Linked DNA regions of Tamandua tetradactyla. The protein of the gene in region 1 binds, or shares a complex with, the protein of each later gene. Links are inferred from orthologs where the notes say so. Each region holds a gene or a part of one and is shown in the gene's direction. Other genes may lie near its edges. The genes, in order: SMARCB1, ACTL6B, ARID2 and DPF1.

Region 1 (6,988 bases):
GGTTCCGTGGCAGCCGGGCGGCTCCGTGGCGGGCCCTTGCAGCTGGCCACAGCTTCCTGTGTCCTCCCTCTGTCTCTTCCCGGCAGGTGCGCAGTACTGGGTGTACAATGGGGAGAAGCTGGTCCTGGGACCTGCACCCATCTCGGAGCTGGGCATGGAGGGGTTCCCCATTCACGCCGCCCTGGTTTGGGGTTCCGAGAAGAACAAGATCTACTTCTTCCGAGGCGGTGACTACTGGCGCTTCCACGCCAGCACACACCGCGTGGACAGTCCCGTGCCCCGCCGTGCCACCGACTGGCAGGGGGTACCCTCTGAGATCGACGCTGCCTTCCAGGATGCTGACAGTGCGTTGGGGACAGGGTGGCTGGTGGGCAATGAGGGTGCAGTGGCCGCACCTCCCACCCGGGAGGAGCGGGAGGCCATCCCCATTCCCCTGCCCCCTCTTGGTGGGGCATTGCCATCCTCCCTATTACTGATGAGGAGACAGAGGGTCAAAGAGGCACCAGGACTTGCTGGCCCCCTCGTCTAATGGCGAAGATAACCACCACTGCCCACCCACTGGGGCTGATCCTTCAGGCCCAGTGCTAAGTTCCTTCCATGGATCATCTCAAAATTCCCAGAATGAGCCCAAGGAATATGGCCCGTTATCGACCCAGTTCCTGGAGGAGCAAACAGAGGCTGAGCCAATGAGGTTCCTAACTGGGCCATGGGGGTGGAAAGTGGCCTGAGCCAGGACTGCCACTCAGCCAGTCCCTGCTCCTAAACACTGAACCCTGCAATGCCCCCCTCCCCCAAGGACTCACAGTCCAGTGCTCTCTCCTCTGCTGCATGCTCCCACATTGGACCCTCTGGGATGGCTTTCTGGAGGGGCTTGAACTCTGGGGCTCCAGGTCTCCCATGTCACCCAGGATGCCCATCAGTCATCTGGGTCGGGGTGGGGGGGTTGACGTGAAGGTCAGGGGGCTGTGAGGGAAGCAGTGAGTTGCCTTTCTGAGACCTAGGAACTGGACCTCTGAGGCTCTGGGAGTCCATCATGCCAGGTGGAAGACTGGGAACAGGCGCTGGGGCAGCCTGGAGGGCTTCCTGGAGGAGAGGGAACCAGAGGAGGGGTGCTTCTGGAAAGGCGGTCCCCATGGGCTCTGCACAGCCCTCCCCACCCATCCCAGGCCTGGTGTGCTGGGCAGGCATAGAGCCCAGTGTCCACTGGCCCAGGCCTGCCCTCCTTCTCTCCCCAGGCTATGCCTACTTCCTGCGGGGCCGCCTCTACTGGAAGTTTGATCCTGTGAAGGTGAAGGTCGTGGAGGGCTTCCCCCGCCTCGTGGGCCCCGACTTCTTTGGCTGTGCCAAGCCTGCCAACACCTTCCACTGACCCTCAGCCCGGGTACCTTAGGGGGCCCTGACCTTGGCCAGGCAGGCCCCTGACACCTCTCTGGCTGGGAGCCGTGTCTCCTCAGGGCTCCTGCCACTTTGACAGCTGCAGGCTGGGCCGGGGGGCTCCATCCCTGCCCCAGGGGACTTCAGCAGGGCCAGACCAGCGGGGACATCCTTTCTCCGTCCTTCCCCGCTGGCCCTAAAGCAGGGACCCCCGGGGCCCTCCTGGCCTCCTGTCCTAGCCGAGCTCCTGGGCCATGGGGCAAAGCCAGTCCCTGGGAAGCTGGCTTCGCAGGGGTGCTGGGACCCGGTGGCCTTCGGTGGGTGAGTCCGGAGAGCTGGGCTCCAGGATGCAAGCCTGAAGGGTCAGGGATCCCGGGTCCTCGAGACCCCAACATACCTCATTCCTTCCACAGGCTGGCTTCCCTCCAGCTCCCCTTCTGACACCATATCACTGGGCTCCTCCCAAACCATATGTGTACAGTGTGTATAAAGCCTTTTTTTAAAATTTTAAGTGGAGAACTGTCATTAAATGCAGTCATTTTCTACCTGCCTGCCTGGTTGTCTTTCTGTTGTGCCCAGGATGAGGACAGAGCTGGGCCTGGAGGCACAGGGAGCTGGGGTCACGTCCGTCCACTTCCAAGCCTCTGGGTCCCCTCCTGCTCCATTCCTCCATCAGATCTCACTTGGACTCCTGTAGGGACTTCTTCTCTTTTAAATGCAATCTTAACTGAGATATTTTCATGTCGCATATAATCCACCCAAAGTCTACAATCGGTGGCTTATGGTATCATCACATAGTTCATCACCACATTCGATTTTCTTTTCATCATCACAATCATTTTTAGAACATTTGCATCACTCCAGAAAAAAGAAAGAAAAAGAAAAAAAAAATACATCCCATATCCTTACCCGTCCCTCTCATTGACCACTAGTGTTTCAATCTACCCAATTCTTTTTTACCCCTGATATCCCCCATTATTTATTTTTGTACTCATAGAAAGAGCATCAGACACAAGATTTTCACAATCACGTGGTCACAAAATAAAAGTTATATAGTTATATAGTCTTCTTCAAAGATCAAGGCTGCTAGAACACAGTTCAACAGTTTCAGGTAGTTCCCTCCAGCCACTCCAATATACCACAAACTAAAAAGAGATATCTAGACAATGTGTAAGAATAACTTCCAGGATAACCTCCCAGATCTGAAATCTCTCAGCCACTGAGACTTTATTTTGTCTCATTTCTCTCTTCCCCCTTTTGGTCAAGAAGGCTCTCTTGATCTGTTGATGCCAGGTTCTGGCTAATCCAAGGATTTCTGTCCCACGTTGCCAGGGAGATTTACACCCCTGGGAGTCATGTCCCACATAGGGGAGGGCAGTGAGTTCACCTGCTGAGTTGGCTTAGAGAGAGAGGCCATCTGAGCAACAAAAGATGTTCTCTGGGGGTGACTCTTAGGCATAATTATAAGTAGGCTCAGCTTCTCTGTAAGGGTTTCTTAATCAGCCTCCAGCTTCCATGGTCATTTTCCTCAATCCATCCTCCACTGATCATGCCATGGTCTAGCCCCTGTTTTAAAATACTTTGGTTTCCCACTTTTTTTTTTTTTTTTTTTTTTTTAAGGAAAGACAGAGAGAAGGAAGGAAGAGAGGAAGAAAGGGAAACATCTTTTAAACATTTTCTTGTTTTATTGTATTTTGTTTCTCCGTTTTCGTTACATGGGCTGGGGCCGGGAATCGAACCGAGGTCCTCCGGCATAGCAGGCAAGCACTTTGCCCGCTGAGCCACCGCGGCCCGCCCAGGTTTCCCACTTTTATCAGGTCACAGAACAAAATCCAGGTTGCTACAGCTTACCCTTCCTATTATCCCTGCAGTGTCCCTTATCCCACTGCCCCACTCCTTCTGTGGCTTCTTTGTAGAGCCCATCATGAATTTTTTTTAAGTACTTGGAAATTTATTGCTTTTTTGTATATATATTTCACAATAAAAAAAAAAGTTTAAAAAAATCAGTTGGTCTTAAGTGTGAGGGTTGATTTCTGAGCTCTCGATTAGATTCCATAGGTCTATAGTCTGTCTTTGTGCCAGTACCATGCAGTTTTGATTATCTTGGTCCATCACGAGTTTTATTATTTTATTACTTTAAATGATGCGAAATTGTCAACATAGGACTGCTTTTTTACCTATTGCATGGTGCAACCGGATCTGTTGATTGGTTTATGCTTTCATTAGTGCTGGGCTGTAAGCGCGGCAAGGCAGGGCTGTCTGGGGTCGCCTGGCTTGTAAGCACTGAGCAAGGCAAAGTTGCGCTTTCGAGGTGACTAAACTGAGGCACTGGCCTGGGGAAACTGAGGCACTGGTCTGGGAGGATGGTGTCACAAAGCACGCCCAGGCCACTCAGGCTTCAAGACACAGCTCTGTCCTAATCCTGCTCTTCAGGCCCAGCTCCAGGCCGAGACTGGGTAAGCCACCGACATAGTCAGGGCCTCCAGGCTTCTTCTGGAGCAAGACAAATTAGTCGCGGTTCCTTTAAGAGGCCCGCGGAAGCGCGCCCCAGCCTTTTGTCCGGGGAGCAGCGGCGCGCGCGTCAGCGTCAACGCCCGCGCATGCGCTCCGGCAGCGGCCTGGTCGGCGGCGGCAGCGGCTGCTGAGGAGCCCAGCGACGGCTCCAGTACCCGGCCTGGCCCGGCCTTCGCCTGCTGGCCTTGGCTTTCCTCGGCGCGGCGCGTCCCGGCCCCGCTTCTGCGCTTCAGGCCCCTCGCAGCTCGGCCCCGGCCGCCCATCTCCGCCGCCGCAATGATGATGATGGCGCTAAGCAAGACCTTCGGGCAGAAGCCCGTTAAGTTCCAGCTGGAAGACGACGGCGAATTCTACATGATCGGCTCTGAGGTAGCCCGCGGCGCGCCCTCGCCCTCCCCGCCCGGCCCCGCGGGAGTCCAGGGGCGGGTCGGCGCGCTGGGAGCGCGCGTTTCCATTCATCGCGGCGGGCGCGCGCGAGGTGGCGGGGCGGGACGTCGGTGGGCGTGGTCTGGGAGGGAAGGCCTGACTGATGGGGGCGTGGTCTCTGTTGGGCGTGGCCTGGGAGGGAAGGCTTTCCCGAGAGGGGCGTGGCCTCCGTGGGTGAGGCTGGGTGGGAAGGTCAGGTCGGGTGAGGAGCGCGTCCTCCATGGGCGTGGTCTGAGCCGGTCCCGCCCCCGCGCACTTTGGAAAATCTGGGTTCGCGTCCGCATTTTTTCTTGGTTCTGGGTGCTTCCAGGACTTTGGGCCCACGAAGTGCCAGTGGTACACCTCCAGCCAGGTGCACAGAAACAAGATACTTCTGTTAGTCCCGCAGCCCGTAGGGGGTCTGGAGGAGTAGGGATGGAGCTGCATGACTACCCTTGAAACTTTTGAGATGCTGAAAAACTCAGATGCACCTTTGCTTCTCCCCCATTTGAGTTCGTGAAATTGCTCATCCTCTCCCATGTCCCCCCTTTTGTTCCTGCTTCTGAGGTGGACGGTGGAGGTGTTCTGAGCTTTGTTTACCGCTGAAGAAACAGACAGGGAAAAGGATGCTTGTTGCTAGATTTTTCTGCACTTCTGAAGAAATTGACACTTTGGATATGTGTGAAGGACTGATTTGCAATTATTAAGGGGGCAGGATCCCCTCTCTTTAATCCTTAATGAGAAGCCACAGTGCTTTGGTTGAGTCAGCTGGACCACTGACTTTAAGAAAATCCTACAGCTAGTCCCTTTAAATATGTTAAGTTTTGTCAGATTGCCTGTAAGTGGCCCTTTTTGGCCTAAAGGCTGTCCCCAGTGAGTGTATATTCCTTTAATTTTTTTTTTCCTTCTTTAATCATGGGTATAAAATTGAACTGGGTGAATGTCAGGCAGTAGAGTCTCATGTAAAGAGGTAAGTGCCAACCTGGAGAGCTAAAGCAATTATAAATTGCCAAGTATCTCTCCTGGGACCATTTTCAATACCATATGCCACCATTTCATTCTTTTTTGGGGGGGATGGGGGCGGGGATGCATGGTCAGGGAATCAAACCCGGGTCTCCCTCATAGAAGGTGAGCATTCTACCAATGAACCATCCGTGCACCCTTCATTTGTGTTTTTAAAAATTGTGTTATTTTCTTCACAATCAAATCTGGTGTGAATGAATCGAGCCTTGTAACTGTCCCACTCCAGCTTTCAGGACACATGAGACAGTGGTCTTGTGTTAGTTGGGTCCCGTGTGGTAGCTCCGTGTTGTCAGTAGCACTAGAAAGTTAGTGTTTCCATTTTTCAGCAATTTTTGTAAAGCATTAAGGGCAGGGTATAAGCAGTTCTTTGTGTTATCCCATAGATGGGATAACAGGTCACATGTAAAATGCAGGGCACAGAGGCGGTCCAGGAGACAGTACCTGATGCCAGTGCTGTCTGTTAAAAGGAACACCCTTACCTGATTTGCTGGGCGGAGAAGGCAGTCTGTTTGGCATTGACTCCGAGTGAGTGTTACTTCTAAAGAGAAGGCTTTTGTTTGTTAGCGGAGCCACATGAGAAGTGGCTGAGAAGCCCGTGGCCCAGTGGGAGGAGTGGAGAGGGTGCTGGGTCCAACCCAGCTCTGCCTTGGGTCACCGCTCTCTGTATAACAAGATGCTAACACTAGATGGTCCCTAAGATCCTTGCTTAACAAGTTTTCCTTTCTAGAATGCTTTGTGGTCTTCTCTTCAGCCATTCTCTCCTGCCCACCCCAGTGGGAAAGAGTAATCATATGTGCGACCCTTTCTCCTGAGATCCCGTCTGTAGAGTCCCAGATCAGTGAGGCAGTTTGCTGCCTCCAGCCAGGCTCCGCAGTCATCAGACTTGGAGTTGAGGGAAGGGTTCAAGATCAGAGTGCTGTCTGTTGCTAGGCTGTAGCTCTTGTGACTGGCCCTTCCCCTTAGAAAAGAGCCTCCGTGTTCAGAGGGGTGGGCCAGCGCTGGTGATGCCTGGCACCCTGTGTGGGCCTCATGGGGCGGCCCCTGGAGCTACCCTGGGGTGGGAGGGGAGGTGGCACCCACAGTTGCAGTGTGTGCATGTCACTCTTCTACCATCTGCAGGTCTGGAGTCACTGAGCCAAGTCACAGAGCTGAGGGGACCCCAAGAAATCACCAGGTGTAGCACTTTCATTTCATTGTCAGGATGCCTGGATCCAGAGAGGGCAGGGGCTAGTTCTGGGAAAACCCAGGGAGCCACGTCCCAGCCTCCTGCCTTCGGAAGGGGCTTTGGGTGCAGGTGGGGAGACCACGCCCTGCAGGACCTGCGAGGCAGTAACGGGGCGTTAGTGCCATTGCTTTTCTTAGACCTCACAGAGACTGTGCTTTCCGCTCGGATGGAAATGACACACGCCACATAGTGCGGAGGGGGCTAGAGCCAGAATGACCTGGGTGCTCAGATGCTCTGGTCGTCTGTTCTGTAAACCTCTGACCGGTGAACACCAGAGAAACACATCTTTATTAATAAATTTGCTAGGCAAGTAAAAGGGAGAAAAAATCAAAATGGTCTTTAGTGGACGGAAGTTCAGCGTTGCCGAGCATTTGGCAGATGGGCAGAGAGAGCTCCAGAAAGAGGAAGTGATTCTGGGTTACAGGTAGGGCCAGTGCCCTCCACCCA
Region 2 (7,961 bases), on another chromosome or scaffold:
CCTATTTAAAATCAAGCAGTGGTTCCCCATCAATTCCACAAAGAGGGCCAAACTTCTTTGCATGACACACAGGCCAGGTCTTGTCCCCTCTACTCAGAATGTCTTCCACCCCCCGCTGCCTTGTCAGCTCGGACAATTCAGGTCATTTTCTCAGGCTCAATCTAAATATTGCCTCTCCTTGAAGCATTCCAGGACCATGCTGTTGTCTGTGCCCCGCTGCAATGCTGGCTCCATTCCTGTTGCAGCCTTTACTGGACTCTGTTTATTTTTGGGCATTTGCCACCTGCACTGGGCCAGCGGCTCTCAGTGAAGCCAAGGCACACTTTTGATCTGACACAGTTCTGGATGAGAGCTCAGCAAACCATGAACAGACCCCCGGAAGATGCCAAAACATTTACAGGATATGGGGTCTGAGAGGCCTGCTCCTACCGCCTTGGACCTTCTTACCAGGTGTTCAGGTTTGTCCACCCAGAATGGGAGCTTGAAATATGAGAACCATCAGATCTGTTTATGAAATTAATCATTTAGGCATCTACCTTCCTGGACAGACATTAAACTCAATGGAAGTTGTATTATGCTTTATTCCCAGTGCCTACCAGACACCTAGGGAACATTTATTGAATGAATGAAAGCATAACACCTGCCCAGGATTAACATTTTTCATATGCCTTGGTTTAGATTTTAACTCTGTCACTTACCAATTGAGTGACCTTGGGCCAGTCATTTAACCTCCATGCCTGTGCTGGTTTGAAAGGATGTATGTCCCCTAGAAAAGTCATGTTTTAATCAAAATCCCATTTTGTAAAGGCAGAATAATCTCTATTCAATACTGTTCAAAGTATGTTTGAAGCTGTAATCAGATCATCTCCCTGGAAGATGTGATTTAATCAAGAGTGGTTGTTAAGCTGGATTAGGTGACGACATGTCTCCACCCATCTGAGTGGGTCTTGATTAGTTTCTGGAGACCTATAAAAGAAGAAACACTTTGGAGAATGAAAGAGATTCGGAGAGAGCAGAGAATGCTGCAGCACCATGAAGCAGAGTCCACCAGCCAGCAACCTTTGGAGATGAAGAAGGAAAACGCCTCCCGAGGAGCTTCATGAAACAGGAAGCCTGGAGAGAAAGCTAGCAGATGACGCCTTGTTCACCGTGTGCCCTTCCAGCCAAGAGAGAAACCCTGACTGTGTTCACCATGAACCTTCTCACTTAAGAGAGAGAGAGACCCTGAACTTCACTGGCCTTATTGAACCAAGGTATCTTTCCCTGGATGCCTTAGATTGGGCATTTCTATAGACTTGCTTTAACTGGGACATTTTCTCAGCCTTAGAACAGTAAACTAGCAACTGATTAAATTCCCCTTTTTAAAAGCCATTCCATTTCTGGTATATTGCATTCCGGCAGCTAGCAGACTAGAATAATGCCTCTGTTTCCCCATCTGCAAACTGGGGATAAATTAAATGACTTAATATTGGTAAGGCATTTATAGCAGTACCTGGCATAAAGTAGATGCTTTGTGTCTGCTAAATAAAAATAGTTTCAGAAAAGAAGAAGAAAATAGAAAAAGCAAAAAAAAAAATTTTTTTTAAATACTTACAGGCATGAAAGAGCTGGTCTCTGATGACTTGTCTAGTCTCATCCCCCAGTGGCACTGGCCTCTGCCAACAGCTCATGTCTAATCCTCCTTCTAGATCGAACTCCTAACTATTCCCACATGTACCAAAATGTTTTATGATTCAGTTCAAACTTCTAGAAACCTTCCTGGGCTCTCAAAGACAGGTAGCTCTTCCATCTTCTGAGTCTTCAATGCACCCTACTTCCATTTAGATCTAAGTTCCAGCTCAAAAATTCCTTGACAGCAGAAATACCTTAGACACCTTGGTAATCCCATGCCTAGCATAGTGCCTGGCACACAGTAAGCATTTAAAAAAAAGTCCCTTGAGTCAGTGAGTGGACAAATGAAATATATTAACTCCCTTCACTGTAACCATGCCCATAATACAATGGACTCATGTCAGATCCCATGACCAGTGAAAGTTGAACACAGTTGCTTAGGAAGGAATCCAAGTCCAGTCCTGTAGATAGCAGATTGTAGCTTTTCCACCAGGCTTGAGAGGAAACTTCCCTCCTCATTACCAGATAAACTACAGAATTTGGACTTGTTTTTAATAATATTAAAGCCTCAAAAACTTCCCAAGTATGTTCTGAAGGACCAATGACTACTGAGTAGTCCTGGGGCCCGGTTCTTAGCCAGGCACCTGATTCTGGTCTCAGGTTAAGTCCTCACCACCAGCCATTCTATAGATAAGGACAGTGAAGCTTGGAGAGGAAGACGGAGCTGTTAATGAAACAAGGCCCTCTCTCAATGGCTGACAAGAGAGCTGGGCTCTTTCAGGAAGAAATTGATCCATTCAACAATTCAAACAAAACCCCAAGATCCCATGTCTGGGGCCTCTCTCTCTCTCAGCCAACATGGCAAGCAAACTTACCACCCTCCCTCTCTCTACATGGGACATGACTCCCTGGGTTGTGGACCTCCCTGGCAACGTGGGACAGAAATCCCAGAATGAGCTGAGACTCAGCATCAAGGGATGGAGAAAACCTTCTCCACCAAAAGAGGGAAGAGAGAAATGAGACAAAATGAAGTGTCAGTAGCTGAGAAATTTCAAACAGAGTCGAGAGGCTATCCTGGAGGTTATTCTTATGCCTTTATAGATATCCCCTTCTTAGTTTAAGGTGTATTAAAGAGGCTAGAGGGAAGTGCCTGAAATTGTAGAGCTGAGTTCCAGTAGCCATGTTTCTTGAAGATGAATGTATAGTGATATGGCTTTTGCAATGTGACTGTGTGATTGTGAAAACCTTGTGTCCGATGCTCCTTTTATCTACAATATTGACAGATGAGTAAAAAATATGGATTAAAAATAAATAAATAATGGGGGAACAAATGTCAAAAATAAATTGAGTAAATTGAAATACTAGTGAACAATGAAAGGGGCTGATAAGGGGTATAGAAAAAAATAGGGGGAACAAAGGTTAAAATCTATTGAGTAGATGGAGATACTAGTGGTCGGTGAGAGGAAGGGGTAAAGGGTATGGTATGTGTGAGTGTTTTCTTTTTTCTTTTTATTTCTTTTTCTGGAGTGATGCAAATGTTCTAAAAAATGATTGTGGTGATGAATATGCAACTATGTGATGATATTGTGAGCCATTGATTGTACACCATACATGGAATGTTTGTATGCTGTTTTGGTTTGATAATACAAAATAAATTTTTAAAAAATTAAAATATGTAATACTGAAAAAAAAACCTTAAAAAAAAAAAAGATCCCATGTAATGGGGAGCCAACCCATATTCAACCCTATAACCTTCCCAGTGACTCCCTAGGCATCTGCTCACTAAGGTTTCTCCAACGGGGGCAGGTTTTGACAGTGAGGTGGCTGCCCCCAAGGAGTAGTGGGAATTGACCAGGTGAATTTACCCAGGAAGTGACGATTACATCATTAAATATCATAAAACCAGATTGTGAATGGAATAATTTTTCCCTGCAGTGTTCCTTTAATCCTCACCTCGACACTTTGAAAGATGAAAAAATACAGACTCCGAGAGGTTAAGGCACTCATCCAACTCACCTAGGTCTCAATTCATAGAGAGGCCAATGACTGATCTATGGTCACTTGGGATAGTCTCAATGCCCCAGCTTCGGGGTCTACTCTCTCCCCTACAGCTCATCCTCCCACTGCGCCCAGATCCGCCAGACTGGGGAGCCAGTCCTGGACCCAGGACCAACCCCAGGTGCCTCAGATGCCACTGTGGTCAGTGGGAAATCAATGAGACAGCTCAACCATCTGCCCTTTGGCTAGGGAAGGGTGAAACTTCTTCCAGGATAGGCATCTGGTGTGCAGAGACCCTTCAGGGACGCTGTGGCTGTACTCACACAGTACCCTCTTCCTCTGCCATTTCTGGTCTTAAAGACACCCCCCCCCCCACCCCCACCCCTGCCACCAGCCTCCAAACAAGCAGGTAAGAGTGTCCCCGATACATGCTTACATACACATGCACATATGTACACATGAAAAGAGAGATATGCATGCGCGTGCACAAGCACACATAAACAAGTATATACGGGTGCACGCCTACACATGCATGCTTACACAAGAGGCTCTTGGCTAACCTAGGCTGCAAGAGCCGCTCCTTCACCGTCCCTTTCAAAACCGCTGTGGAGGTGTCCAGCCAGGAGCGGATACAAAACCTGCTTCATAAATGCCTCCTGAGCAATAAAAGGGGCTGAAGAGAGGCGGGTAGGGAAAGGAAGCTGAGCGCCTCTGTGTGAGCGTGTGTACACACGTGTGTATCTGAGGTCCAGGCACTAGGGGGCGCGGGAGGAAAAGAGGGGCCATCAAAATGACCAGGGTGGAAAGAAAGATGAGAAGATGGAGACACACCCCCTCCGGGTCCTCTCTTTGCCTCTCGCCTCTCCTCCCTCTCCGGGTGATTGCTCTCGACCCTGGCTTTGCTGAACCACGTTCTAGAGCCTGAGGATGGACGACTCTGCGGGACTACGGCGCCCTCTTCCCGGACCCCATTTAAATAGAAAGGGAGCAGGGACCCCATCAGACATGCGTCGGAGTCCTGCTCTCCGGACGGAGGGGAGCCCATTTCCTTCTACTCCTCCTCTCGGTCTGCCCATCCCGCACGGCCGTTCTCTCCGTCCCGGTCATCTCCTCGCCCTCTCGTCCCCGCCCACTCTGGGGCTTCTGCCCCTTTAAAGCAGCGGCCCCCGGGCCGGGTTATTGTCTCGCCTCGCAGCCAATCGGCAGCGCCGTTGGGGGCGGGGGATCCGGCCTCCCGATTGGCCGCCGCGCGCCCCGCCCCGCCCGGGATCCCGGGAGCTGTCCGGCCGCCTCGGTGCTGATCCCGCCGCCGCCCACGGGCCGCCGGCAGCGCTGAGAGGGCACTATGAGCGGGGGCGTCTACGGCGGAGGTGAGCGAGCCGCAGGCTTCGGGCCGGAGCCGGAGCCCTGGGACCCCGAACCCGTGCGACCCAAGCTCCGGGCACCCCGAGGCCTGTCAACTCGGCGCCCCAGCCGGCAACAGCCCGGGGCTTGGGTCCCGCGCCACCCCTACCTTCTGTCCTCCCCGGGAAGCCCCGCGTGCACCGGGTCCAACCCCTCCGGCCATTCAACCCACCGCCGCCGGGACCCCGGCCCCCCTCCTTCTTTGCTGAGCAAGGCCACTCGGCAGGACGGACTCTGTCCGGCTTGACCCCCACTGCCAGGACCCCAGACTCCAGGCCAAGCCCCCACCTGTCCCAGGCGGCGAGACTAGAGACTGTGGCTCTGCCCTGCCCTCCCCTTGGAGCTGTCCAGGGGGAGAGAGTTTGAGGGAGGACCCCTGACACATGTGTCTCCCCGCACAGATGAGGTGGGGGCGCTGGTCTTTGACATTGGCTCCTTCTCAGTCCGCGCTGGGTACGCTGGGGAGGACTGCCCCAAGGTGAGCCTTCCAGCCCCTTCCCCAAATCCCCGGGGCTCCGGACTCCCCTTCCAGACTTTCCGGTAACTTGGGGTGCTCACAGCCCAGCCTCTGCTGACCCGGAGTGTGGGAGTCAACCCCGGGGCGAGCTGCACGCGGGCAGGAGGGTGATCCCTCTCCCTGCCCACCCTCCCCCCTTCAGGCTGACTTCCCCACCACGGTGGGGCTGCTGGCCGCGGAGGAGGGGGGCGGGCTGGAGCTGGAGGGGGAGAAAGAGAAGAAAGGAAAGATCTTCCACATCGACACCAACGCCCTGCACGTGCCCCGGGATGGAGCCGAGGTCATGTCACCTCTCAAGAACGGCATGAGTAAGGGGCCCCCAGCCACCACCTCCTGATACAGGCGGGAGACCTCTCCCCACAACCTGGGACATAGCACCTCACACCCACGGAGTCCTCCTTACAACTGCCCAGCCCTGGGGAGCCCCTTGCTGCTTCCCACAGCTGCCTGCTTCCCAACCCAGGGGCCCACCAGATTCTTGGGAGAGGGGTTTTCTGCTAGACCTGCCTCAATTCCCCTTTCTCTGAACTTAGCCTCTTTCCTTTCTACTTCTTTCCTGTCCCGGGACCCCTGCCTGCCCAACCACATATTTCCACGTTGGTCTTCTGGGCCCAGTTGAGGACTGGGAGTGCTTCCGTGCCATCCTGGATCACACCTACAGCAAACATGTCAAGTCTGAACCAAACCTGCACCCAGTGCTCATGTCCGAGGCCCCGGTAAGTGCCTCGGCCCAGCCCCTAGTCCAGCCCTGGGGCCCAGGCACTTCGTTTCCACCGTGCACCTCTCACCTCTTGCCCCTACCATTGGTCATACCACATCCTCCCTTGTCAGATTTTCCTTCCAACTTCAGAGCTCTTCAACCACTTCCCTTCCTTCCTGGCTTAGAATCCACCCCTCACTCTCTCTTCCTGCTCTATCCACCTGCCCTTCCCCCAATCCATGTTAAACATGCCCTTTTATACCCCTTCCCCTCAAAATTCCTTTTTTTAGACCTTTTAACTTAAAGTTTTTTGACATTTTATATACACATAAAGAATCAATTTGCTTTATAGAGTATAAGAAAAGAAGGGCAGTTCCTACCCCCTTCTTCCAACTCCTCGTTTCCAAAGACAACTGCTTCTCATCTCTTTCAGCCAATTTTTTGTGTTTTTTTTGGGGGGGGGAGTGTTTCCTTCCAGATCTCTAAATATCATGCTTAAATTGCTGCTTGTGGACTTCCCACTAGATAAAATGAACATTTAGCTCAATTTCCACCTCACACTGCACACATTTCTTGTTCCCCACCCCTAAGTATAGTTGCATTTTAATTTGTTTTCTTCAAAGATCAGTCCTCAGTGTTTACTCCCTTGTTGCTGTGTATTCTGATCAAGGCTGAGCCAGGCAACAAACTATGATTACATTTCCTTTCCTATACAACCTTTTGTTCTCCCTAAAACAGACATTTGCTTGCTTTTTTATTTGCTTAGTTTTCTATCTACCTATCAGTAATGTGACCTTCAATTATCTACCAGTTACCTACATCTTCTCTCAAAACATTAATTCCATTAGGTATTCTACCAATTTCATCTTGAAGAAATCACTCCAGGAGCCCACTGATATTCTCCACTCTGGACTACCTGCCCTCTATACCTGGCATCTTCCTTCACCATCATCTTAGGGAATCCTTTTGCTTCTCTCCTGTGTTAGCATTTCTGTTTCTGTATCTCATGAATCCTTTTGATTTACCCCCTCATGTTCAGTTGCTCAAGTCCCAGAGGCCCCCCACTTCACTGATTCCCACACCTGCCTAGCTCCCAACCCAGGGCCCCAGGAACTTCAGTAACTTCCATAGAAAGGTCATGGGAAGTAAATTTTTTTTTGAGATCTTGCATATCTGACCTTGGATTGATAGCTTGGCTAGGTATAAAACTTCAGATTGGAAATTATTTTTCATCAGAATCTTGAAGGCACTTCTTCATTGCCACCTAGCTTTTATTGTTGTTATGAGAAGACTGAAGCCATTTGATTTCTGATGTCTTGTTTTCATTTCTGAAAGTTGGTAGAATCTTTACTTTGTCCTCAGTGTTCTGTAATTTCACAATGGTGTGTCTTGATATTGGTCTATTTTCGTCCATTGCTCTAGGCACTCAGTATGTCCTTCAATCTTGAAACCCATGTCTTTCAGTGCAGTGAGAATATTTTCAATTATTTATTTAATGATTTCTCTCAATTTCCTTCATTCTCTCTTTTGGGAAGTTCTGTTATTTGGATTCTACACCACCCGAATTGGTTCTCTAGTTTTCTTATCTTTTCTTTCTCTTTTCCATTTCTATCTTTTTGCTCTAATTTCTAGGGAATCCCCCCTCGATTTCAATTTTTCCTCTGAGTTTTTCATTTCTGCTCTTGTAGTTTTAGTTTCCAAGGACTCTTTTTTATTCCCTGAATGTTGCTT
Region 3 (7,571 bases), on another chromosome or scaffold:
CCCAATCTGAAGTAGAATTAAACTGTTTAAAGGCTTAGTTGCCAATACTCATTAGAGTCACCATCAGAGTGGAAAGGCCTCATCTATGATTTGATATTTGAATCAATTTCAAGTAAAACAAGTTAGCCAACACAAAAAAGTAAAGTACAGGAGAATACACAGGCACATGCAGTAGGCATGAAAGCACTCTCACATTTTACCAAAAGTATATTTCTTAGGAAGGTCATCTTTAAAATTTAACTTCAATAGCCATGTTCAATCAATTCTTTTAAACCTCAGAGTAACCTAAGAGCCCAAAATTTCTTTAATTAGTTGACATACCAATTCTTCAATTAAGTTGTTTCTGCAGTTGTGATAATCTAACATGCTTCATTTGATACTGGGTATAGTTTTTTTTTAAGTGTAGTTGAGTGAGAGAACTTGTAATCACAACTTCTTGACTAAATAATAGCGAAACTTACAAGAATCAAAGATGAACATAAAATAACAGTAACCTGTAATTATGATGTGCAAGGTTTGCAGTTACTATTAAAACCAATGCTTTGCATTTTTCCTACCATAAAGTCTTGTCATTTTTCATCAGAACAGTAAATTATACTATTGAATTTCAACAGTTTTCACTGCTATTGGTAATTTTTTATAGGAATAGTTTTCATCAATACTTGAAAACTATGAATTACATATCTTATCAAGTAAGTTGGAGAATATCTATTGCTGTAAAGCTGCCAGTACATCTCTGACATTTCCTTCCCAAGATCCACCTGCTCTATGCTGCCCACTATAGGAAATGCAATATGGTACTAAGAAATATAATACTATGCACTAGGGTTACTATTTGTGCAAACCAATAAAAAAAACAAAACAAAACAAAAACTCTCTGGCGACTTGGTTGCTAAGATAGGGTGTTTTTCGAAGTCACAGACTGATTAGTGGTAACCATATTAAATATAAAGGACATCAGTAGGAACAGATAGGACCAGAAACTATATCTTAGTGATCCAAAAGCCAAAGTAGCAACGGGGTACTGCAGGAGATGGGGCGTGGAACTTAGTGATGGAGGTGGAGGGAGCAGAAAGCTGGAGTTCTGCATTAGAAAGGAATAGAGGGTCAAAATCAACAAAAACAAAAACACCTCAGTCAAAAGAGTCATGCAAACACAAATGATTGCTGATAATGGAAAACAACACAAAATCAATTATGCATGCAATACATATTTAAGTATTATCATATGAATCTCGTCTTTCTTTAAACCTTTACATTTCTTTAGCTTCTTCGTCCTACATTTTTCTAATCGGGGGAAATTAAACCAGGTAGCGATCAGATAAACATCAAGTTTTATGTTTCTGTTTTTAAAACTTTGACCAGAGTATGTCCAAGTGTTAGGAATTTAAATTCTATCAGATATACATAAGGACTCCATTTTGACGATGACAGCCTCTTCTACAGAAAAGCAGTTTTTTTATTTCTTATAAAAAAACAATTCATATCAAATCTTAATTCTTAAGATACATTAAAACTCCAAATCTTTATCCTGCGCTGAAAAGCAAAACATACTTTTGTATACGCATGTGTCTACATACACATATGTTAATAGCAGTTAGTGGTTTAAAAGTGGCAATCTCTCCTTGAAAAGTAAAAACATAAAATGTCTCCATTTTGTCCTTCGAAATAGAAATTAAAAAAAAAATCTAGACCGTTCACTGAATAGTTGGTACTAGAAAAACGTTCTAAGGTTTAACCTAACATACAACCCTAAATCCTGACTCGGAAGACTTAAATTTCAGCGTACATGCCTTCATTCCCACTCCAGCCCCATTAGCACCTTCCCTGGCCCGGGGCCGGTCAGCAATGACCCGGTGCGCCTCGGCCACCGGAATTCGACAGCACCGCCCGCCGCCGGCAACCCGACTCCCGGCGCAAACGTGAGTTCCCAGGCCAGGGGCCTCCGGGACTCCCGAAGCTCACGACTCAGACGACTAGACTGGGCCGTGATCCCTAGCATTTAAAAACTACCGGAAAGTCTGCACAAGTGGCGCTGCCAAGGCCCGGTGTTGTCCGCTCCGCATGCGCCCCGTTCCCGTCCCATACAAGACAGCCGGACTGCCCAGGCGACCCTCCACTGGATCGCAGTCTGCTGCCGAGGAATGTGGAAAAGCAATCAAAGCTATTGAGTCTCTGGAGCAGGCAGCCGCAGCTTTCCCTTCTCCCATCAGATACAATTACGCCGGCGGCTTCTGACTCTTCCTTCGAGAAAATGAAAAAATAAAAAAGCGTAGAGGTGCTAAAAGCCGCTGGCATTTCCCAACCAAGGAGATCCTCTTGGCTCCATCCCTTCAGCAAGATTTCAGAACTCGATGCGTCCTCAGCGGAGGTATTCCATGTTGACGGGTCTCTTGCCTCCCACAAAATGGGGCAGAGGAAGCGACTGCTGTCTCCTCTATGGGCGCCGCCATTTTGTGAGGCGGCGGCGGCAGGGGCCCTGGGTGTGTGTAATGGTTGAATAGAATGACCCCCTTTAGGGAATCCCCGGCGCTGACAGTTACGTAAGGGGCCGTGAGCAAGTGCGACGTTTAGGGAATCCGCACAGCCGGGCCGCGGAGATCTGCGGCCCACATCTCCACCACCCCTAAGAGGACCGGCGGTGGGGGAAGGGACAGATGACCGGGTCTCTCCCTCCTACCCCACCCCCACTCCCACTCCCACTCCCCGCCTGGGCCACTGCCCAGCATCTCGACCTCCTTTGGCTGGTTCACCGCACCCACCCCCACAGGCCCTGGGGTGTCTGGAGTTTCCTAGCTACAGCTTTATTTCGAACCCATTATAAGAGAGAAACTTTTCTTGGGAAATAATCCCGATTCCTAAAGTGAGCACCAGAGGCATAGCATTCTGGGCTATATTACATAATTTTTTTCACCACCAAATAAATGTTCCCATCGGCGTGATTGGACTACCTGGAATAATAATCCTTCCAGACACAAACTACCTTGGGTTAGGACTTTGTCCGTAGTGACCACCACTAAAATGGGAATAATACGTTGCTCTACTGTGAAACTTGGCATTTGTAGCAAGGGGCCGGCTGCAACACCCCCTGTAAATATAGACTTAGGTAGTGGTGGTTGTTGAAATGGTTTGATTCTCCCATTTAAGCTAAGTTTTTTTTTTAAGCCTTCAAAATATTTTAAACAAGGGTTGCATTTAAGGAATTTGATAGAAAGCAAGGAAAAATATTTTAAATATGTTTTTGAGATGTCTTAATATGAAAATAAAAACGTTATCAAAGTTCGAAAGATTGCATCCCAACCAGTTTACTGTTTTATAACTATGATTGTAGAATTAATCTACTTTGATAAGTGAAACCAACGAAAGATGATATGAATTGAGAGCATTCCACCGAATGTATAGTTTGCTAAAGTTAGTGGGTAATTCATGGAAAATGTGCTAACCAGGCTCCAGAATACTGATATGAAGCTCAGAAAAGCCGATTCCTTTAGACTTGGGGGAAAAAAGTTAACAAATTGACTTTATTCCAATTTGTGAATGTTGCGTAGCTTGAGGAGCTGTCCCTCAGAGTTTCATTTCCCTCCGGAGCACCTCACCGCTTCGGTCCGACTGGCAGTGACTACCAGGCGGCCCTTCAATAGCCGGGTCGGGGACGCGAACATCGCCTCCACCCCTAACCCTGAACAACCGGTAGTGGCCGTTTCTCCGCGCCGCCCCCCTTTCCGTCGGCTTTGTGTGCGTGTGAATTGTGCGGCACATTGCAGATGAACCCTAAGCCCGGCGAGCCGAGTCTATTGTTCCCCGCGAGGAGCTGCCGGGGCGGTGTGGAGCCAGGTGCAGTGCCGCGGCCGGCCCTCGGGGGTCGCTGTGCGGCGCTGGCTGCCGGGCCGTGGCGGCGGCGCTGGCAGCGACAAGAGAGGGAGGCTGGCGGGGAGGGAAGCAGGCGGGCGGCGCGCAGCGGCTCAGCCGCCGCGGGTGCCTTCTGCCTGAGGACGCCCCGGCCGCCGCAGCCGAGGCCGCGCGTGAATGTGTGCGAGGGCCCCGCGGAGCCGCGGCCGGAATATACGCTGTCACCCCGCTTTCCACAAACCACCACACAGACCTCCCCCTCCCCACCCCCAGCCCCGCCTGCCCCAGCCCCGCCGCCGCCGCGGTCGCCGAAACTCCCTGGTCTCTGACCGCCCCGGCTCCTCACCGTCCGCTCGCCTTTCCCCTCGCCCGCCCGCGCGCGCACGGCAGCAGCACCATGTTGAATCGCGTCCCTGGGCCGAGCCGCCTGGGCCGGCGGCGCTGAGGCGGACGAGAGCCGGGCCGCGAGGAGGGAGGGAAGGAAGGGGTGGGGGTGGGGGCCGCGCTCGCCCCGCGGCTTCGCGCGGATCCGGCATTCGCCTGTCCCTCTAGTTTCGCTCCGATTTCTTTAAACTTTTTTAGAAATTCCCCTCCCTCCTTCCCTCCTCTCCCCCTGGCCTCCTGCTCCCTCTTTCCCCTCCTCCTCCTCCTCCTCCCCCTCCCTCCCTCCCTGCGCCGCCGCCGCCGCCGCCGCCGCCGCCGCCGCCGCCGCCGCCACCGCCGGCCCATGACTGAGCCCCGCCGCCGCCGGCCGAGGAATGGGCTCCGGGCTCTGGTAGGAAGCGCAGGGAGCGGGGGACGCTTTTAAAACACCGATCTGGTTTTTTTAAAAACCTCCTTTGAAAAAATAATGGCAAACTCGACGGGAAAGGCGCCTCCGGACGAGCGGAGAAAGGGACTCGCTTTCCTGGACGAGCTGCGGCAGTTCCACCACAGCAGAGGGTGAGAGCAGAACCGGGGGGGCAGTGCCGGGCGAGCCGGGGCGAACGGGGCTCTCCCGCCCCGGCCGAGTGTGGGGTCCCGGCTGACAAGTGCGGGGCATTCTCTCTTTCGCAGGTCGCCTTTTAAAAAAATCCCTGCGGTGGGTGGGAAGGAGCTGGATCTTCACGGTCTCTACACCAGAGTCACTACTTTAGGCGGATTCGCGAAGGTGAGTGGAAGTTTTAATTTGTATTTCCCTCTCGCTGGCCTCCTCCAAAAAGTCTCCTTTGACCCCGGAGTGGGCGCTCGGGGCTGGGGGGGTTGACTCGCGGGGGCAAAAGGCGTTCTTTTCGCTCTCAGCCGGTGGCACCGAGGCGGACGGCGGCGGGGCTGTTTTTGGCCTGGTGGCTCGCGTGCGCGCGGTGGGCGCGGGGCTCCGGCGGGCGGGCGGCCCGGCGCCGGCTCGCGCCCTGCCGGGTGCCTGGCCCGCCCGGCGGGGTCGGCGCGCCACGGCGGGGAGTGCGGGCGAGCGGGGAGCCCGCCGGAACCCCGCGCCCGCGCCTGCCCGCTCGCTCGCTCGCTCGCTCGTCAGCTCTGCTGCCGCTGCCGCTCTAGCACAGGCGGAGACACAGAGACACACAGACTCTGAGAGCAGTTTTCGTGCAACTCAAAATTAGCGCGGGCAGGTTTAACATCGATAATCGGCTGCGAAATGATCTCGGCAGCCGGGGGCACAGCCTCGGCCCAGTCGCCCTCGGTTTATACGGCTAACAAAAGAAACCAGGACCTGTCTCCAAATAGCCATCTTAGGCTTCAAGGCTAGGCAGAAGCTGTAGGCCTCAAAGAAGGGCCTATGGAGATGGATAGATCTGGGAGAGGGATCGGAATCGGCCCCGGGCCCGGCCCCCCCCCCAGAACCCGCGGACGTCGCTGTCCGGAACGGTATTGATCCTTTTGAACTTTTTTTTTTTTTTTTAGTGTAAACGGACCGCGTTGAGATTTAAAAGGGGGCGACAGAGGGACTTGCGATTGGTTATTGTCCGGGCTTCAAAAACAAAACAAACCCACCAAACCCCCCCCCAAACAAAACAAGTGCTATTAAATACGGGGCTCTCTGGTGAAAACAGTGATTCACACAGCTCTTGCATAGTAACTCTTTTGGCTCGAACCGAAATAACCACCGAAGACTTAGGTATATCCAGATCTCTGTAGAATGGGTATTTATTTCATAGTTAAGTCAGGGTTTTCTTGGATTGTGCAGTTTCAAGCAAGTATGCCTGTGTTTTTAACAGGTTTCTGAGAAGAATCAGTGGGGAGAAATTGTTGAAGAGTTTAACTTTCCCAGAAGTTGTTCTAACGCTGCCTTTGCTTTAAAACAGTATTACTTGCGGTAAGTAGTAGTGATTCTTTAACAGTATTTGGAAATAAGGGGGGAAATTTGTTTTTAGCAAAACAAAACAAAGCCTTGCACACAAAACAGTTTCTAATCGCTTATTTCATTCGAAGAAACATTATCAATAAAGTGTGATTGTAGGAAGGTGCAAGTTTTCCTCACCTATTTTAGAATTGTTTACATTTTTCATATGAAAACTTTACAGGTGACACCCCACCCCCACTCTTGGTAAATATTCTTTTGTGACATTGTTATTGATTGTTCGATATCCACCAAGGGGCAGAAAGGTGATGCTTAGTATAAGAGTTAAGATAGTTAATGAAACTTTGTATCCCTTGGGAAAATTTTTTCTTTGTTTTGGAAACTCTTTTACCTTTTTATGACTTTAAGATTTTTTTTTTTAATGAAACCTTGAGTACACAACCATGCCATTGAGTAGTTTTTAAGTTGGTATTTACATTTAACATGTTGATGCCTTAGGTGACCAGGATTGATTTTAGAATTATCTTTCCTCAAAATGTTGAATGACTTAATATTTAAAAGGATTATTATATGTTTAGGAAAATAAGGGGTACTGTGACGTGTGATGTGATTTGGAATTTTTTTATTTTCCCTCTTTTCGACTCCTTATTTAGCAGAGTAAATTTCTTATTCAGTTAGTATGTGATAGATTTTGTGATTTAGGGGTTTTTGTCCTCCCGCTTATTCTAGGAATATTTTCATGTTGTAATTTATTATGTCATCTTTTCTTTTTAATGTTTGTTTATCCATAGAGCGTCCTTTAGTTGGTGGTTGTTATTCAAAACTAAAATAATACCCTTTGGTTTATTGTTTTTTAATAGTGATTTTACACAATGGCTATTTTTTTGTAATGTGGCTTCTGCATACTTTGGGTTTTGCATTTATTACTGCTCAAAATACACAGTTACTATTGTGTGTCATTTTCAGCATTCTGAAATAGGAAATGCAGAACTTGCACAGGTGCACTTTCTATTGGCTATCTTAGAGTGACTTCAGACTTCAAGCTGAAGAGTTCACAGAACTTTGTGGAGTAGTTACTGAGTTATACAGAAGTCTAGAAACTATTAAGTAGGGTTAGTTGCTGTTTGTTTTTTGTTTGTTTTGTTTTTGTGATGGCATGTGTTTCAGTATATTTTTAAATAAAGGGCAAAATTTACAAACAATGTCAATTGCTCAAACTTGATTTTGTAATGGGGTGAGAAGTATAGAATTTTGTATTTATGGTGACATTCACTTGCTCGTTTCCATTGTGCATGGAAATATTATAATATCCCAATATAATATTGAGAGGAATGATGCTAAATACATGTTCTAGTTTTATTCATCAGATTTATCCTTTAGATTTTAGATGGTTTAAAATCTATATTTTAAAATTACCCCTGATATT
Region 4 (7,708 bases), on another chromosome or scaffold:
TGGTACTTTCCTCAGATCTCAGTTCAAACGTCACCTCCACAGAGAGACCACTTCTCTCTTGAATCAACTTGTTTTCTTTTCTTTATAGTACTTTTCACCCTCTGAAATGCTCTTACTTATTTACTTTCTTTTACCAGCTTTCTCCACTAGAAAATCAACAACTTGAGCCAGCGATTTTGTCTGACGCTCGGCATCTTGAAGAGCGCCCGGCATATAGAGCTCAATAAATTTAGGAAGAATTGATTGACACCTATGCTGGCTTCCTCAGAAAAATGTATCCGGACAAGCAGGCACACACGACAGAGCCTGGTGTCACCCACAAACCCTGGGGAGGCCCAGAAGCCGGCTACCACCTTCTCCCACGCCCAGGTTGCCTGGAAGGTGGGAAGCGAGAGCTGGGCAGGGAGAACTCGCAGGGAGGGGGCAAGGATGCTCTGGGGCGAGTCCCGCCCCGCCCTGTATCCCCAGCAGCCAATGGACGTGCGGTCTTCCCGGCGCCCCCTGGGACGTGTAGTCCCTGCAGGGGCGCCCCCGGGCCCCGCTGCGCGCCCCTAGACTCCACGACCCGTCGTGCGCCGGAAGGCGCGGGGATTGGCCGAGCCCCGCCCCCGTCCCGCCCCGCTCCGCTCGCGCTGCAGCCCCAAGAATGAATGAAATCGTAGCGCGCTGGGCGGCAGAGCGGGCGGCGCAGGCCGGGCTGGGCCCGCGCGCGGCGGCAGCGGCGCCCCGGGCCGGAGGCGGCCCCGCTGAGCGGGCCATGGCCACCGCCATTCAGAACCCGCTCAAGTCGTGAGTGTCTCCGCGGGCCCCCCGACCCCGAACACACCCAGGAGCCCCTCCCCCGCCCTCGTTGGGGAGGGGAAGCAGCGCGCAGCTGGTAGTTGAATGGGGATGCCCAGCACACCCTCTCGCCCCTGGGGGTCCTCCACCCCGTATCACCTCCTAGGGTTGGGGGAGGGAAACCCTCCAGGGCCGCAGGGGTGCCTCTTCTTTGTCGCTGTCTGTGAAGGAATGTGGCACCAGCTGGGGGGCGGCCGAGGCCGAGTTTCCCCACCCAGGGGGTTTGGAGCGTCCTCTCCTCTATCTCACTGACGGCGCTGGGCCTGCCTCCGTATAGAGTTGGGAGGACCTACCTCGATCTCGGGATCCCCACCATCCTTCTTTCCCTCAGTCAGGCACCTTTCTCTCTTTCTCCCCTCTTTCTCTGGGGACCCGGGCCCGAGCGTCTTTAGGGTGGGAGCTGAGATGTCGGGTGTCCGGGTTATATTCCTGCTGTCTCCACTCTTTCCTCTTCGGATCTCCAGCTTTGGTCCAAGACACCACGGTCGTCTCAGACCGTAGGATCCCCCCACCCCCCACCCCGCAATCCCCGACCATATACCTCTAACAAGAGCATCTCCCATCCTTCTGGGGACCGATGGCTCTGGAACCCCATCCTCCGAGGATTCCCTCCCTTTCTCCCGGTCCGAGCGTTAGCTTCTACCTGGGCCCAGTGGTCGGGAGCCAGGACGCCTGGGTTTGAGCGTAGCTACCCGGTCCCCTTCCCCCTCCTTGCCATCCCCGGCTCTATCCTTCTCTCTCCTTCCCTCTCTCCATCTCTCGCTCGCTCGTTGAGATCCTGGACTACGGGTCCCAGCTCTCCACCACCCCCTTGCCCCAGGCCTTGACAGCGGGCTCCGAGTGACAGGCGCGCGGCCGCTCCCGCTCTCTCTACCCGGCTGGCGAGCGCGGCGCTCCCCTCCCCCCTCCCCTCCCTGGCCTGGGGGAGGAGGCGGAGGGCGAGTAGCGGCGCCGCCGCACAAAGGGGCCAGGGCGACCTCCCCCACCCTTCCCTCTACTCCGTGCATTCGCAGCCTTGACCTTGAGCATCGAGTGCTGAGGGAAGGAGGGGAGTGGGGGCAACCCCGCGAAGGGTCGCGCCTGATGGCTGTACCAGAGGCCCCCCAGTCTTTGCTGGCTTCTGAGGGCGGGAGGGGGGAGGTGTTGGGAGAGAAGGGTGTGTGTGTGGTGGTGATGGGGGGGGAGGCGGGGACTTACAGCACGCGCCAACACCGGTGGCTTTGCGGTGGTTTTGGAGGGGGTGTATGAGGTTCAAGTCATCCTGAAGGGGAGTGTGATTGTGACACCCATCTGCTTCCCTCTTACCCTCAGTGGCACACACCACATACACACACACACACACACACACACACACACACACACACATGCTTTTCCTAAGAGGGAGACCCTCAAACTGGCTGGGAAAGGGGGTTCTTATGAGGGTTGGTAGATACACAGGTATTGGGATGCCCCTCACCCAAGGGCAGCTCACTGCAGGGTCTGGAGACCAGGGGGTTGGCAGTGTTAGCGCCCATTTTGCTCTGGCCTTACCAGGGATCTGCAGAGGCCATGGTAGGGGCCCACATGTTCCTGAGGAATGTGGGAGTCAGATCCCTCTCAAGCAGGAGGCTGGGGAATGCAGCTCTCAGCAGTTCTGACTGTTTACACTCAAACCCCAGTTTGAGCCACTAATTTTCTATTCCCTCAGAGCCTCAGTTTTATCATCTGACAATTGGGTGCAATACTAGTTCTTTTTACTTCATGGGGCTGTTATGAGGCTTACATAGGTGACATTTATAAAGCACTGAGTTGAGTCTGGCCCTGACTAAAGGTAGATAACGGTGGTAGGTGGTAGTATCATGCTTTATCAATATTGCTTTGTACTGTGGGCACTGGGGGTGGGGCTGGGGGTTCCTGTGTGTAGGAGAGTGTGGGGGGGAGGGGATTGCAGAAGCGACTAGAGGTGAGGAAGGGGAGGGAGACCCTCTCCCAGTGTCAGCCTGGATCTGTGGGTGGACCTGGGCCTCTAAGGAGGGGATGGGGTGTCTACACTCAGGCTTCGCTTGCTCAAATTGATGTGAGGGTTGTGGAGTGGGGAAGGGGTGAGTTGGGGTGTGTGTGGCTCCTAGTGTAGAAAGCAAGTGCAAGAGGGTGTGCTAGGGATCTGTAGGGTGAAGCAGGTGAGAGAAGGTGGCAAAGGCTCCCTCTGAGTGTGAGCCAGTGGGTCGGCAGGGGTGAGTTATGGCATGGCCACCACAGGGGCCAGGAAGCCCTGACCTTAGGGATGGCATGCCAGTGTCCCTCACTCACTCTTCTCACCCACCTTGCCACCTACTCTTGGCCAGATAGAAGCAGAGACTCCCTCTCCCCGGAGTTAGGAGGATGAGGGGGGGTCTCAGGGTAGAGGAGTGAGCTGTGTATGGAGAACCTGAGGGGTTCTTTAAGGGCGTGTGTGTGTGTATGTGTGTGAGTCACTGAGTGACAAAATTGATGAAGACTAGCGTGCCCCCCTCTCCCCATTTGCAGTAGGGCTCCCTGGCCGAGGAGGGCATTGTGGGCGTGAATGAAACTGTCCATCCATGTAGCCTCTGAATCCTGGATGCAAACTCTGGACAGGGAGGCTCAGGTGGTATGTGTGTGTGTGTGTGTGTGTGTGTGTGTGTGTGTGTGTGTAGAGACTGGATGAGTGTGCGTGACTTGGTGGGCCAGCTCATTCTCTGGGGATTCCCTTAGGGTGGTGTCAATGTGGGTGACAGTGGGAGAAAGATGGGGATAAACTACTTGGGGATGGCACCTGGGTGAGCCAGGGGCCGAAGGTTGTGTTATCTCGGGCACGTACCTCACCTCCCTGTGCTTCAGGTTCCTTGCCTGGAAAATGGGGATAAGAATGTTATTTCCCTAGAAGGCTGCTCTGGGGATTAAATGCCATGTGTATAGGGCACAGTGTCTGGCACATAGTGCTCAGTAAATGTAGTCGCTCAGCAAATGGATGTTGAGCATCGCCTGTGTGCCAGGCAGAATCCATTCTAATAACCATTAGCCATTTTCCCTCAGTGCATATCAGATCCTCTGTGGAATGGATGAATTTATTGTGCCCTTACTATGTGTCGGGCCCCTTTTAAAACACTTTACCCATATTTACTTACTTCATTCTCACAACAATTCTATGAGGCATCATCCCCATTTTACACAGGAGGAAACTGAGGCCCCAAAAGATGAAGTTACTTGCTGATGGCCAAGTGGTAAGCAAGTGGCAGAACCCAGAGGTGGCCACAGCACCTGACCAGTGTCAGGGTTGAGGAGGGTGGGGCGGCTGGGAGAGTGGCTGGGGCAGAGTCAGTCCCGAGGGGAGTAGGCACTGGGGCGTGGAGGTCGCCGAGCCGCGTGTGTGCACACGTTGGTGGGAAGTCTGTGTGGGAACCTGTAAGGTGTCTCTAAGTCTCTTGGCATTGAAGTGTGTGCGTGAGTGTAAATGTGAGTGCAGCTGTGAGTCTCTATGAAGGGGTCTGTGTGAAGCGGTGTGGGCGGGTGTGTGAGTGTGTTTATGTCTGGGTGGGCACCTGTGAGTGTATGAATGTGAAAACTGCGGGGTGTGGGCGTGGGTGAGTCCAGGTGTGCTTGTGTGAGTGTGTGCATGTACGTCTAGGATGTGGGGCGAGTGAGCGTGTGTGAGGGACGGTGGGCGCTCCCTCGGGCCCCGCCTCGCGGGCCCCCTGCGCTTCGCCCCCTCCCTTGAGGCCGCCGGGTCCGCGGGGCCCCCAGGCCCGGGACTACCACTCCCAGCATGGCCCGGGCCGGCCCGCCCCGCCGCGGTGATTGGTTGGGGCCCCCGTCCTCCCGCCCCCGGGAATGAATGGATGGGCTGCCTCGGCGCCCGCCCGAGCGCTGGGAGGACCGACCCGGCGGGGACCTGCTGGGGGCAGGACCCGGGGAGCAAGATGGCCACAGTCATCCCCGGCCCCCTGAGGTGGTGCGGGCCGGGGGAGGGGGGAGGGCGCGCGGGCGGGTCTGCGCGGGCGGGTGTGTATGTGTGGCGGCCGGGGGTGGGGCCGCTGTGGTGTCTAGGGGGCTGTCACTGGGTGCGGGGCTGCGCGGGGGTGCGTGTGTGACTGTATGCCTCCGGCAAGAAGGTGTCCTAGGCGCCGCTCCTGGCGGGGTGGAGGGTTGGGGATCCTCGGGGTCTTCGTTGGGGAAGGGGTTCATCATCCCTACCCAGCAGGGGTCCGGGAGAAGGTGAAATGGCCCGGGGGGTGGGGGCCTTAGTAAACTCGACTGAAGTCCACACTACCTTTGTCTTGGAATGCAGTGTGTGTGACTTATTTGCGTGTGTGTGTTTAATATGTGTGTGATTTATTTTATTTTGCACTATCTTTTGATATTTGGGTCTTTGAGCATGTACACATGTTCTTAGGAACTATGCAGGATTTGTCTCTGTTCTCTGTTTTTGGATAAGTAGGCATATGTGTATTTGTGTTGTAGAGTTTTGTGTGAAGATGGGTAGTTTGTTTCTGTGTTAATATATATGTATGTATCTTTGTGTGTTTGGATATGTGGTATTTGAGATGTTGGTTTCTATGTTGTGTGTCTTTTTGAATGTGTGTGTGTGTACCCTGTGTGAATCTGTGTGATTTCTTTGTATTATATGTCTGTATATGATTCCGTGTGATTTGTTTGTGCTATGTCTTTGGATATATGTGTAAGTGCATATGTGGTTGGTTTCTTTCTACTGTTGTCTTTTTGACATTTGTGTATCTGTGTGTGTTCTGGAGTGCATGTGTGTGTGTGTGTTGTGATGGGTGTTTCCATGTTGTGTGTTCTTATGTGATTTCTGAATGGGTGATTTGTTTGTATTGTGCATCTTTGGATATGTGATGTGTGTTTGTGCATGGATATATGTGTGATCTATCTCTTTCAACAGTATTTGACGGGATATTTGTGTTTTTCAGTATATGTGTGAGATTTGTCTGTTTCTCCTTTGTGAGTCTTGGGATGTGTCTTTGTGTGTGAATCCTGTGTGTCTATGTGTGATTTATCTGTGTTATCTTTGGATGGGTCCTGGTGTGTTTTTGTATGTTTCTGTATTGTGTGCATCTACTTCTTAGTTGGAGGCCTTCTTGAGTCCCATATTGGGGAACCCTTGACCCCTTGGTTCTGTCTGCTCCCTCCACTGAGGGTCCAGGACTGGCAAAGAGGGAAGAGGTGAAATAGGAGGGATGGGTCCACCCATCCCTGACTCTGGGAAGGCCGGGCTGGAGGAGGGGTGCTGCGTGACCAAGCGCACCTACCCTTGCTGACAGCTGCCCGCCCGCTCACCCGCCCCGCAGCCTAGGCGAGGACTTTTACCGAGAGGCCATCGAGCACTGCCGCAGCTACAACGCCCGCCTGTGCGCTGAGCGCAGCCTGCGCCTGCCCTTCCTTGATTCGCAGACCGGCGTGGCCCAGAACAACTGCTACATCTGGATGGAGAAAACCCACCGCGGGCCTGGTACCCGCCGGGTGGGCAGGGGTGGGGCGGGGCCGCAGCTTCTTGGCCGCATTCTTACCTCCCTCCTCACTCCAGGTCTGGCCCCGGGACAGATCTACACGTACCCTGCCCGCTGCTGGAGGAAGAAACGGAGACTCAATATCCTTGAGGACCCCAGACTCCGGCCCTGCGAGTACAAAATTGGTGGGTGGAGCAGTGCCTTGTGCCTGCTGGGGCCCCTAGTGTAGGCTAAGTGTGTGTTGATCTCAGTGTGTGTCTGATCCTCTGGCTTTGTGTCCCTTCTAGTGACTGGTGGGCTGTGTGTTTTGTCCAAGTGTGTCTGGGCATATTCCAGAGATTCTACAGTTTTCCCTGAGTGTCTGAGCTTCTGCTTGTATCTCCTCCTAAGTGGGCCTTGGTGTATTTAAGGGCACAGTGGTCTCTATTACGCTGTGTCTAGGTCTATTAAGTTTCTGACCTGTCTCCCTTCCCTTGTGAGCCGGGATGTATCCGATGCCTGGCCCTATCTCTTCTGGTAGGTACCTATGTGTGATGGACTATCCATCTCCCTGGGTGTGTCCTGATGTGGTGGGGTGTCTGTATTACCTCTTGGATATATTGGAGTGTGTCAGAATGCCGGTTGTAACTCTCCATTTGTAGCAGAGTCCATCAGTGTTGGCGTCTCTTTTCAGGTGTAGTAGAAGCTTTATTTCTCCTTGTGTGAGTCTGGGCTATCAGAATATCCATATCCATTTCTCTTCCTGAGTGTGTCTAGGTATATTGGGGTGTCTGGGAGAATCTCTTCCCATTAGTATCTGGAGTACAAGGTGTATTTCTGCCTGTGTGTCTTGTCTGTCAGAGCATTTGGCCTTATCATTTCTTGAATGTGTCCAGGGATATCAGAGTGCTGGCTATTTCTCTTCCCTTGTCCAGGTGTATGCTAGGGACTGGTTGTGTCCCTCTATGGGTCTGGGTGTAGCTGAGGGTTGGACAGTATCTCTGGGTGTCTCAGAGTGTCTCCAAGGGTCTGAATGTGTCTCCCATGTGTGGACAGGTATATCCAAGGGTCTGGGTCTATCTTTCCCAAGCATCTGGGTGGATCTGAGGGTTCAGGTATAGACCTCTCTCTTTGTGAGTCCAACCACCTCAGATGATCTGTATCTCCCCTGTGAATGTTCCCCTGTATCCAGTTTGAGTGTATTTCCTCATGGGTGTTTGAGTGTGTGTGAAGGTCTGGTTGGTTGTCTCTTCCCCAGGGTCTGGGCATCATTCCCAGGATGAGTGGCTGAATCCCTGCTTCTGTTGCTGGTTGAGTGTGGGAAAGCCTCTTCCCTCCCTCCCACAAAGAGCATGCTCCCTGCTGCCATGTGCAATGTGAGTCCTCCAGGGTTGACTTCTCCACTTGACCCCCCTATGGCCCTGTCC

Evidence for each region.
Region 2: SMARCB1 (region 1) and ACTL6B share a complex: the UniProt entries of both Homo sapiens proteins name them as parts of the BAF complex. The link is inferred for Tamandua tetradactyla from reciprocal best matches to the Homo sapiens genes SMARCB1 and ACTL6B.
Region 3: SMARCB1 (region 1) and ARID2 share a complex: the UniProt entries of both Homo sapiens proteins name them as parts of the SWI/SNF-B (PBAF) chromatin remodeling complex. The link is inferred for Tamandua tetradactyla from reciprocal best matches to the Homo sapiens genes SMARCB1 and ARID2.
Region 4: SMARCB1 (region 1) and DPF1 share a complex: the UniProt entries of both Homo sapiens proteins name them as parts of the neuron-specific chromatin remodeling complex. The link is inferred for Tamandua tetradactyla from reciprocal best matches to the Homo sapiens genes SMARCB1 and DPF1.

The regions. Positions count from the first base shown.
Region 1 is NC_135331.1:25,825,947-25,832,934, reverse strand, and holds the start of SMARCB1 (SWI/SNF-related matrix-associated actin-dependent regulator of chromatin subfamily B member 1), read left to right. Parts: upstream 1-3,979; 5' UTR 3,980-4,164; coding exon 4,165-4,257; intron 4,258-6,988. Other genes in the region: MMP11 (stromelysin-3), read left to right, coding at 87-344, 1,236-1,369.
Region 2 is NC_135349.1:8,743,230-8,751,190, reverse strand, and holds the start of ACTL6B (actin-like protein 6B), read left to right. Parts: upstream 1-4,954; coding exon 4,955-4,979; intron 4,980-5,414; coding exon 5,415-5,491; intron 5,492-5,672; coding exon 5,673-5,838; intron 5,839-6,145; coding exon 6,146-6,246; intron 6,247-7,961. UniProt on the Homo sapiens protein: Involved in transcriptional activation and repression of select genes by chromatin remodeling (alteration of DNA-nucleosome topology).
Region 3 is NC_135333.1:105,665,158-105,672,728, forward strand, and holds the start of ARID2 (AT-rich interactive domain-containing protein 2), read left to right. Parts: upstream 1-4,562; 5' UTR 4,563-4,699; coding exon 4,700-4,791; intron 4,792-4,905; coding exon 4,906-4,999; intron 5,000-6,062; coding exon 6,063-6,160; intron 6,161-7,571. UniProt on the Homo sapiens protein: Involved in transcriptional activation and repression of select genes by chromatin remodeling (alteration of DNA-nucleosome topology). Required for the stability of the SWI/SNF chromatin remodeling complex SWI/SNF-B (PBAF).
Region 4 is NC_135342.1:25,754,284-25,761,991, forward strand, and holds the start of DPF1 (zinc finger protein neuro-d4), read left to right. Parts: upstream 1-4,694; 5' UTR 4,695-4,757; coding exon 4,758-4,786; intron 4,787-6,143; coding exon 6,144-6,487; intron 6,488-7,708. UniProt on the Homo sapiens protein: May have an important role in developing neurons by participating in regulation of cell survival, possibly as a neurospecific transcription factor. Belongs to the neuron-specific chromatin remodeling complex (nBAF complex).